Linked DNA regions of Arabidopsis thaliana. The protein of the gene in region 1 interacts with the protein of each later gene in a pairwise test. Each region holds a gene or a part of one and is shown in the gene's direction. Other genes may lie near its edges. The genes, in order: BEL10, KNAT6 and KNAT2.

Region 1 (3,758 bases):
ACCGATTGGATCTTAATGTCACTGTTATCTTCCTTCTCTCGGCTACATCTCTTTCCACTAACACTACAGGAATCAAAAGTAGATCTCACGAGAATCATTCCTACTGTTGATACAGATAAAACCAATAGAATCATCAGTGGCCATCTCTTCTTCTGCAATGTTGCCCACATACTCGTTGATGGCTTCGCCATTGTTTCTCTCTACAGCTTAGAATCACATCCTAGGGTTTACACAGTAACAATCGATCTCAGAACTTTCTAAGGATCTGTCGTCAGTGATGGAGAAAGCTTGGAACGAAGAAGTTTAGAGGAGAGATTTAATGGGGAAAAGCCGCTAATCAGTGTTGACTCTTTGCAGAAGTTTGCAATTCACGCCGTTTTTGTTATTTAGAAGGAAGTTGATTGCCGTTTCTCAGCAGGCCCCCGATGGAATCCTCTCTTCATATTTATAATGGGCTTTAAAAGGCCTATTTGCTAAAAGCCTAAAACTAAACTAGTTATGATGATAGTTAATGCATACTATATGGTTTTAATTCTTTTTTTTTCTTAAGCTAAGCTAGGCTTCAGATTAGTTTTGCTGATACAATTTTGGTTTGGTTTTGTTTGGTTCTAATAATGGAGAGCATAATGATTTCGATCCATAGAATATAAATGTTACAAACATGAATTTTAGTGGTGATGATCCGTCTTCATATATGGTCCAACAATGTATGTGGCAATAAATTCTTTTACTTTTTGTTACACGGCCATAACTTGTGGCTATTTATTATAAAGTTTTTTTTCGGATATATCCATGTAATTAATATATTTGACAATTGGCAAGAATTATTATACTTCAACATTTTCCTCCAAACCAAAGGTTGTTCATTTCTTACTCACACACATTTTCCTCGTTTAGCATCATCGATTCATCCTCAACTTTAAAATATGATTTACAGAACCATACGGTTTTAAAAATAATTACATCATTAATAATCTAAATTTTTAGTAGATTTAATCAATCTCTCACCAGCTAACTGCCTAATTAATTTATTTTTAATCATCATTATAAATCAAGATCCACGTGGAAACAAAAGTCAATATCATCATCTCTCAAAGACTCAAAACACATGAATAATAATTTTCCAACACAATGGTACTTGCCAAATGATTTTGTGTCGGCTGCTCTAAATCCAATCTCCAACAAACCAAAACGAAACTACTTGTTATTTTAAAAATCAGAGGAAATGGATTATATTATTAGTGTAGCTATAAAGATAATCTTTTACGTATTCTTCATTGTGGAATATGCAAATACAAACATGTAAGTGTATAACTAAAAGGTTTATAACAAAAGAAATAAAAAGACAAGAGAACTTAGAATAAAAATTGGGTATAACAGAAGAGTAAGGAGGGACTCACCAACTGGTTGTTAAGTCATTTAATCCATCAATTAAGCAATTGAGCAGACACACACCCACCTTTGTTTTATCTTCTTCCTTAAACCAGCTTATCAGGGTCAGTTTTGTAATCTCATATTCCTACCTATAATGACGTTTCTATGTTTTATTTGATGGAGTTTAATTTCCGCTACCATGCATAACTAAAAGTATATCCGTTATATCAAACATTTAAAGAAAACCTCAAAGATATTGAACTACAAAGTGCTCAAGAAGTTCTATTAAAAATGTATCGAACTTTAACTTTATGATGAAAGCAAGGTGATAAGAACAAATAGTTTAAAAAAACATTTTAGTTTGAAATCCAAATCTAGACTCTATAATTTGTGGCAGGTAATAATTTCACTATTTTGGAGCCTCACGTACACAAATCAGGAAGTCGTTAAAAGTTTCCCACGATACCATGGTAATGTACGCATTATAGATTATTTCGTTTAAATAGTTAGATTTGGTTTTTTTTTTTAATATACAAATACTAAACTTTTCATATATAAACACTCATTCCTTCAACTTTTTTCTTTTGGTTGTATTTAGTTAACTTATACGGAAAAGTAGTATGAGTCTCAAGTCAATGACAACACAACATCATTAAAGTATAATACAATCATCTATAAAAATCCATTTATTTGTGTGTGTGGAATTGTTAAGTTTTGTATGTTAAAGTCGTCATAAGAAATATTATCACGTAATCAAGAAAAGAAAATTGGTGATTTGTAAGCTCTCACGTGTTTCTCTATGAATGGTTGGCACACAAAAAAAATCATATTAATTTATCTTTACTCTAAGCATCAGAAACAGAAGCTTCTGCCGCAAAAAATTAAAAATTACAGGTAGCGGTTGTCAAATTTTTCCGGTAGTGATCATTATTTTATTTTATTGTTGATATTGCATAATAATATTTTTAAAAATTGGGTTGGTGTCTAATGTCCCAATGATAAGTTGGGTTGGTTTTATTGTTCTTGTGGACTGAAAAAAATTTGTTTATTTAAGAATTTTGCAATTATTAATCGCCTCTTTCTCTATCTCTCTCGGGATTGGGTCTCAAATCTTTTTTTGTCTTCAACTGTTCGAAACTCTTCTGCTTTTGTGTTTCCTGATTCAGCCACATCCACACTCACAAACACAATCTCTAGGTTTTTTTTCTTCCTTTTAACTTTGATTCTCTCCCTCAGGTAGTTTTTAAAAATTCAAGTTCTTGATTCTTGATTCTTGATATGATTAATCTTGTACTGTGTTTCTTGATTATTATTTTTTGTATACTTTCTGTGTTTTTTTTCTCCCTTGCTTTTTGGAAATTCTCCTACAAGAGATGAAATCATCAAGACACTTTACTTCTTTATGTAATAATTGAATCTTCTCTGCTTTTGACTCACTACGTTGAGCTACACAATTTCTTTTTACTCTGCATTTTTTTTTCCAACCTCAAATTAGGGTTTTTTTCTCCTCTCAATTTCACCTCCATAGATCGGGTATTCCTCTACGATTACACAATTCCTGTATTGGGTTTTTCTGGGTTTCTTCAGTTCTTCACGAAAAACATTTGCTTTTTATCAAGAATTTGACTTTAATCCTCCGAATAATTTGGTCCGATTCTGTTTGTTGCTTTCGAAACTGTTTATGTATGATATATAAAAAAAATGGTTTGGTGTGAAATGATTACGATGTTTTAACCTCTCTTAGATTCCATCAGAAATTTTTAAAATTCCACACCTTACACGACTCTTCTTCCTCTTATTTTTTTGCAGGATCTCATTTCCCGACCAAACTCATCGAACTAAGAACTCACTGTAATAAAACTTTTAAAAGGTGTAAACACCAATGGCAGTTTATTACACAAGTAATGTCGGTTGTTACCAGCAAGAACCAATCTTTCTCAACCATCAACAACAAAACCAACAAGCTTCTTCTTCATCCGCCGCCGCTTCTTTCACCGTCACCGGCGGCGATACTGTTCGAAACGAGATGGTTTTTATCCCACCAACCACCACAGGAGACGTTGTAACAGGAAACGGTACCGTTTCAAGCAGCGATCTAAGCTTTCACGATGGTCAAGGACTGTCTTTGAGCCTTGGTACTCAGATCTCTGTTGCTCCGTTTCACTTTCATCAATACCAATTGGGGTTTACTAGTCAGAATCCTTCAATTTCAGTCAAGGAAACGTCACCGTTTCATGTGGATGAGATGAGTGTGAAGAGCAAAGAAATGATCTTGTTGGGTCAATCTGATCCTTCCTCTGGTTATGCTGGTAATGGTGGGAATGGCTTCTACAACAATTATCGGTATAATGAGACATCAGGAGGGTTTATGAGCAGCGTTCTGC
Region 2 (3,758 bases), 1.5 Mb from region 1:
TAACATATTTTCGTCTGATCTTTGCCAATAATAAGAAGGCAAACTCGTTTGTGATATATATATTGTTTTCGCTTTTGTGACTTCATATTTATCTAATTTCAAGTCTCCTTTCTTTAACTTAATTTCCCCTTGATTATTTATGATACGTTAGGTGATTTAGAGCAACCAATAGTTTGCAAGTACCTTTAAGATGAAAATGACTTTCTCTAGTCTTTGAGAAAAAAAATAAAAACAGAAACAAAGTTTATATTAAAGTAGTATGAAAGAACATGCCACTTTCTTGATTGAAAATTATATGATAGACGTAAAAAGCTGTCGACAAAACTAAAAGAATAGTTCCATTCGAAATATTATAGATGCTCTCGTTCTATTTTCTTTTTGGTTAAAGTGCTCGTTTTTTTCTTGATACTCTCTTTAAATTACGGCCAATTTCATAATTTCAAACTTAATACATATGTAAAATCATTAAATATACCAAATTATGCTTATGTCTATTTTTGTGAATAAATTACATAGTTCATTTTCATAAGCTAAAGTCATCATGAATATCAGCATCATCAATTTTGGCATAAATTTCATAAATCATAAATTAGCTAAGACCATTGATTTTGCAGCTCCTATACGCCTAGACCAGCGTTTATTTTATTCTTAGTTTTATCCACAAACTTGCTTTATACAGAACTATTCTAAAGTAAACACTAGCTGATACTATATACTAATTTAATCTTAATTAGACGATTTTCCATTAGGGCCTTCTTATCTACTATCTAGGAACGGACCTTCGCTTCTCGAAACCCATTTCATCCCGTACAATCGAAGTGTCCAACATCCGAGTTGGTAAAAAATTTCTTACTACGTAGTAGGTACTAAGAATCACTTATCATATCCATATATTCTTCACATTTGATTTATTTCATACCATCATTTGAATATATATGTGTTGATTATCATTTTGTTAGTAGTCGTGTTCGATAATTTTGTTCTGTATCTAGCAACAAATTTACAGTGACAAGTATTAAAATAATACCGCTCTTTAACTATATATATGTATGTATCAGCTCACTAGTTGTTTGTAACCAGTTCTTGTTTTTCCAGTTTGATATATTCGATTCAACATACCCAAAACATCTCTCATATACTGAACTAATATCTATTTCTAATTGACTCGATTCAATATCATTAGTACTATATTATCTTCTGATATGCGACTTCATTTGTTTTCTTTCTTCTGTTCGGTTTTCCACTTGTTGTTTAACATTTTCACCTTGTTTCACTATTTGCAATCAAATAAACGATTTATGTAGGTGTATCTATATATGTTCTTAGGATCATAATAAAAATATATTTTCTACAAAGTTTTTCGAAAATATATATACATTGGGGATTATTTTTTTAACTGTCTACAGCTCACACATGCATATTATCATATTTGAATGAAGATAACGATACAATGCCGATACTGATACAAATCATTATGTTAGATGCTCAATTTGTTTCTATAGGTCCTATAATATATACATCAAGTCATCAACTATACTTTTTGAAAAGAAAATTACACAGAGCTTTCAAATAAGTTGCGTGTAGTTTAGTGGTTATATGTACTAGTAGTTATGTTACCATCTAAGTGTATTGTCGATGAGAAAAAAAAGAGTTCAAATAAACTGACATAGTATGCTGGTAAATAATCACACTTTTTCCGTTTTTTCCATTTCGTTTTCAATAATATATAATTTTGTTTCTCGCCATGTTTCATTGATATTAAAAATCTCATGATCATGCAAATTCTATCATAACACAGCCTTGGACCTTTCTTAGATATATATGTTAGGAAGGCCTTATCTCGACCTATGAAGCCTGAAGCTCCATTGAGCCTTTTAGCATATGTCCTTTTTCGTAATTATCATTTTATTTTTCTTCTCCGTTAACTTTCATATCTTTTTTCTTCCAAAAGAAAATAAATTAAGATCCCTCGAGCCTCTCTCTCTCTCTACACACTCCCATAGAAATAAATATTTTCAAGAACCAAAAAGTTTGTTATAAGCGGTTTCATATTATTCTTCTTCATCGATTCTTGATTTTGCAAGAAGACAATTCAAGAAAGCGATTTAGAAGACGGAGGAGTTCTTACCGGAGATCTTATACTTATGGATGGAATGTACAATTTCCATTCGGCCGGTGATTATTCAGATAAGTCGGTTCTGATGATGTCACCGGAGAGTCTCATGTTTCCTTCCGATTACCAAGCTTTGCTATGTTCCTCCGCCGGTGAAAATCGTGTCTCTGATGTTTTCGGATCCGACGAGCTACTCTCAGTAGCCGTCTCCGCTTTGTCGTCGGAGGCGGCTTCGATCGCTCCGGAGATCCGAAGAAATGATGATAACGTTTCTCTAACTGTCATCAAAGCTAAAATCGCTTGTCATCCTTCGTATCCTCGCTTACTTCAAGCTTACATCGATTGCCAAAAGGTGATCGTTAACTCTTTCTTTTTTTATCACTTAGATAAAATCTAGGTTTTACTTTTTAAAGATAAAGATAAGATTGAGAAGCTTTGATATTTGATTGTTTTTTTTATAATTTTATGGTTTAACAATTTCATAATTTAGAAACAGGTCGGAGCACCACCGGAGATAGCGTGTTTACTAGAGGAGATTCAACGGGAGAGTGATGTTTATAAGCAAGAGGTTGTTCCTTCTTCTTGCTTTGGAGCTGATCCTGAGCTTGATGAATTTATGGTCTCTCTCTTTTTTTCCCTCGATTTTTTTTCGGATTTTTATTTTTGTTAAAATATTTTTTTTTGGAAATTTTTGTACTTAAGAAGATAATTTATTATCAGGAAACGTACTGCGATATATTAGTGAAATACAAATCGGATCTAGCAAGACCGTTTGACGAGGCAACGTGTTTCTTGAACAAGATTGAGATGCAGCTACGGAACCTATGTACTGGTGTCGAGTCTGCCAGGGGAGTTTCTGGTATGTCTTAAATTATCCCTCTCTGGTTCGGTCTTTTAGTGGTTCTATTTTGTGGTTAGTTCTGAATGATTTCTTTTGATCTTTTCCGTGGTTTTTCATTAATAATATCCTTTCCTCGATATTTCCATAGGGTTTTGATTCATATGACCAGTTTCTGAAAAATGATTGGTAGCTTGTTGATAGAATAACCCTAGGCTTTTGAAGTGATCAGAAAGCAAAATAGATAAAAAATGAAAAAAAAGAAGATAAACCCTAGCTACAAGTTTCATTTCCATAGCTATTTTTCCCTTGATGGGTTTTGTTTTGTGTGTGCTTTTCTTTTGGGCACGTTGAAACTCTGGAGACAAAGATCTGTTTAAGGTGTTGTGCAATTATTTTACTCGTTCATTTAATGTTTTAGCCATGGGATTAGGGTGTTGGAGTGTGGTGGGGATTTCCTCTTCTTCTTGTTGTTGATCTTTGTGCTAATCATACAAATTTTACTTTATATCTTTTTCTCTTCTTTCTCTGTCAGAAAGAAAATGGTGTAGAAAGCAATAAACTTTTGTGGTAGAGATTCTGATTTTGACGTTTCAGAGGCTTGTTGCGTACTGAATGTTTTTTCAACTTGTTGCTTTTTTCTAGTGAAAAACCAATTGACAGAAAAACCTAGTCATAACTTTTTAACAATATGTGTAGTTGATTTTTCATGAGCTTCTTTTGCTTCACTTCTCGTTTAACAATAAGTAAGTATAAGTACTAGTCATAACTCATAAGTCGCTTCACTCTTGTTTATGGGTAACAACC
Region 3 (3,758 bases), about 20 Mb from region 1:
TCTTACAGGTACGTTGATATGTTTTGGTTAAGTTATAATTATATGTTAGTTAATTAAAAATGAGTCTCTCAGTGTTTAGTATAGTAATCTCAAATTTCAGTTCGTTACAAGCGTTATGTAGAGATGACTAAAAACAATATTTGTTAAAACATAACATATTAAGACAAGCATATAAAATTTTATAAACCATATTAAGATTATTTTGATAACATGTAATTGTATAGCATAAAACTACTTAGAAAGAAAGAGAAACAACCAAAGGAGAGTATTAAGACCTGGGATTCCCAAAATAAATAAATAAAATCCATAAGAAGCTAAGTAATCTCCAATTTCAGTAACATTTCTAACAACAGAAACAAATTTGTTCAAAACCACATATTGATGATATGAGATACAAAAAAGAATGACAATAAACTCCTACAAAGTTGAAGCAACCGAGTGGTACAATAATATATTAACAAAAACCTCAATACAAAGAATTGAAACCTAACAACACTAAATCACGGGAACAGTATGAACAATCCATGATGAAACATTCGAGTGGTACAATATTATCTTAGCAACATAATTATATGCACTTGATCTAATAATTTAGTCGTCACTTTTTGTTATTATTATTTTTTCTGCAAGACACACATTTTTTTTTTGCAATCATTTCTCGACGATAGTGATCATATAGATTATAGAAACTTGTGACCCCCCCCAAAAAATACAGAAAAGTTTAGAAACAATATAAATATGTGCTGTGAAGGCCACCGGTGGGGATTCAATACGATACGATCCAACGAAGTGAAATGAGAGAGAAGGAAAGTTCTGTCGTTTTTATAAGGTTTGATACTAAAACAAAGCTTTATGTCAGTTAAATTTCACACCAAAGTAGTCCGACGGATGTGTCAATCAAACCTGTCCATCATCAAAAAGACCTTTATGACATTTGTTTTTATTTTTTTTTGCGGAAAAAACGATATGGATCATCGGATCGGGTCTGGAGTAGACCCATGCAAAAATATAGTTTTTTTTCTTACAACAGGGTTTATAGATGGATTTTGGTTTATGACAAAAACTGCAGGTTCTGTTACTATATAAGGTAATGAAACATTTTGAGTTGATATTATACGCGACTAACAGATTCTCTATGAAAATAACAAGAAGTGCGATAAGTGGAGTGGCCACTATAAAAAATAGTTCCTAAGAGTGTGTTTAATTAGCAAATGACTGAAAGCAATTAAAAAACAAAAATTGTTTACTATGTTGTGATTGATAATGAGCACCTAGCTACCATAGACGTGTTTTACAGAGAAACAAAACTAGGTGAAAATTGAAAGAGTGAAATTGAAGTTGAACCGATCCGGTTAGACAACTAGAATCGTAGTAGCCTAGTAGGTGTCGGCCACCGTAATTGAAACAAAAAGCTTATTAATTAACAAAATTACCATCATTTGTTTTTACTGTCAAAATTCAAATTACCATCGTCTAACCTGTTTTTGTTAACAAGTACTAATTGTTGTCTTCATTAGCTAAGTCATAAATTCTAAAGGTTAGCGTGCTATTTTGATCATTTGTGCGATAATATTATATATCAAAAATAATCGTAACCATGTAATCGTACAGTTAAAAAAAGTGCTCTTGAATCACGAAGAAATCTTTTTATAATCACTCGAATCGTATTCCTTAACACATATGGCAAACCCTTGAAATCTTTCTTCTTTTATACTAGTACGACAAAATAAAATAAAAATTATGGTGTCTTTAAGAAAAACTTGTAAATTATCATAATAAACTATGAAAATTCATATTCGTGATTTTTTTTTTTTTTTGCTTTTCGTCACAAATCATTTTTTTTTTTTTTTGGTTTTTTGCTGAAATATTTACGATCATTGCCCTCAGACTACTATACTACGAGACCGCCTCAACTTGGCCAGTCTATCTATTTCCATTGTCTCTATCTCTCTCTCTCTTTGAAGCAGTTTGTTACTTCTTACTTTTGTGTTTCTTCATATTCTTCAGAAGCAAGCACAAGGCTAGGGATCGAAGAAGCGGCGATCACTGATCGTATCTCACTACGATCACATTAATGGATAGAATGTGTGGTTTCCGCTCGACGGAAGACTATTCGGAGAAAGCGACGTTGATGATGCCGTCCGATTATCAGTCTTTGATTTGTTCAACCACCGGAGACAATCAAAGACTGTTTGGATCCGACGAACTCGCTACCGCTTTGTCCTCGGAGTTGCTTCCGCGTATTCGAAAAGCTGAGGATAATTTCTCTCTTAGTGTCATCAAATCCAAAATCGCTTCTCATCCTTTGTATCCTCGCTTACTCCAAACCTACATCGATTGCCAAAAGGTGATCTCGCTGCTTTCGTGTTTTGTCTTTTCTTTTTCTTGTTGTGTATGATTTTGTGCTTTCAAGGTTAATTTGATTAAGCGTCAGGAATTTTACATGTATTCATCGTCGTATTTAAAGATAGTTCTCTTACTTTTTTTTTTCTATTCCACTTTAACCCTAAGATAAGATTGGAGAACTAGAGAGACTGTGTTTATATGTGAGAGTGATTTTTTTTTTTTTTTGGTTATTGATTGACAGGTGGGAGCGCCTATGGAAATAGCGTGTATATTGGAAGAGATTCAGCGAGAGAACCATGTGTACAAGAGAGATGTTGCTCCATTATCTTGCTTTGGAGCTGATCCTGAGCTTGATGAATTCATGGTTTCTCACTTTGTTCGTTGCCTTGAACTTTGATCTTCTAGTTTTTCTTAAAATATAATTTTGTTTTTTTGTGGTGTGATTCTAGGAAACCTACTGTGATATATTGGTTAAATACAAAACCGATCTTGCGAGGCCGTTCGACGAGGCTACAACTTTCATAAACAAGATTGAAATGCAGCTTCAGAACTTGTGCACTGGTCCAGCGTCTGCTACAGCTCTTTCAGGTCAGCACTAAAGTGATATCTATCTCTTGTTCGAGTGTACTTTTGATTTCTTGTTTCCTAGCTAGTGTTTTTATTGATCTTTGAGCACTATCCTCGGTTTGTGTGTCCTTTAAAATCCTTGCGCAAATTTCTCCTTACAGTTACAGATCTTGCGGATTAGAAAATCTATCCTCAGATAACTTTTCCTTTCTGTGCTTCAATGATCAGTTTCTTGGAATTGATGGAAAAATTGGAAATCTTCTACTGTTTTTTTTTTCCTTAAAGAAAACGAGAATCGATAAGTTGTTGTAGCTGAAACTAGGAGGAGCTTAGTAGATCCGGTTTAGACAACCCAAGGCAATAAAAGTCAGAAAAAAACAAGGAAACTCTAAAACCCTAGTTTTGTTAGAAAACAATGATTGATTCAGCCACATCTTTTATATTTGGTAGAAGTCATTCATGCTTTAGATAGATCCATGACCTTCACACATCTTTGTGACATTTATTTTCTATCATTAGCTATGGTTTAAGCTGTGGGGCGGATATTAGGGGAAAGCCGGTGGGTAGGATTTTCTCTGTTAGTGATATTTATTTTCCTAGTGATTTTGGTATGGTATACTTTTCTTTTGTTACTTTTATATATACTTGTATTATTATCTTCTCCTCTGTCAGAAGAAAATATGGGTCTATGAAAGCAAAAACTTTTGCGCTAGAGATTCTGATTTTGACGTTTCAGTGTCGTACTGGAAGTTTTTTAATTGCTTATTTCCAGTGAAAATTCAATCATAGAGAAAAAACCTAGTCATAACTTCCACTAATAAATGCCACTGATTTTTCTTGAGTTT

Evidence for each region.
Region 2: the proteins of BEL10 (region 1) and KNAT6 interact in binary tests that used the Arabidopsis thaliana proteins (3 or more experiments, as listed by UniProt).
Region 3: the proteins of BEL10 (region 1) and KNAT2 interact in binary tests that used the Arabidopsis thaliana proteins (3 or more experiments, as listed by UniProt).

The regions. Positions count from the first base shown.
Region 1 is NC_003070.9:6,811,353-6,815,110, reverse strand, and holds the start of BEL10 (BEL1-like homeodomain 10), read left to right. Parts: upstream 1-2,047; 5' UTR 2,048-2,268; intron 2,269-2,353; exon of another isoform or gene 2,354-2,907; intron 2,908-3,116; exon of another isoform or gene 3,117-3,183; 5' UTR 3,184-3,256; coding exon 3,257-3,758. Other genes in the region: AT1G19710 (UDP-Glycosyltransferase superfamily protein), read right to left, coding at 1-191.
Region 2 is NC_003070.9:8,300,879-8,304,636, reverse strand, and holds the start of KNAT6 (homeobox protein knotted-1-like 6), read left to right. Parts: upstream 1-2,036; 5' UTR 2,037-2,144; coding exon 2,145-2,465; intron 2,466-2,603; coding exon 2,604-2,732; intron 2,733-2,833; coding exon 2,834-2,972; intron 2,973-3,758. UniProt on the Arabidopsis thaliana protein: Plays a role in meristem function. Contributes to the shoot apical meristem (SAM) maintenance and organ separation by controlling boundary establishment in embryo in a CUC1, CUC2 and STM-dependent manner.
Region 3 is NC_003070.9:26,574,561-26,578,318, forward strand, and holds the start of KNAT2 (homeobox knotted-like protein), read left to right. Parts: upstream 1-1,925; 5' UTR 1,926-2,074; coding exon 2,075-2,347; intron 2,348-2,587; coding exon 2,588-2,722; intron 2,723-2,795; coding exon 2,796-2,934; intron 2,935-3,758. UniProt on the Arabidopsis thaliana protein: May play a role in meristem function, and may be involved in maintaining cells in an undifferentiated, meristematic state. Probably binds to the DNA sequence 5'-TGAC-3'.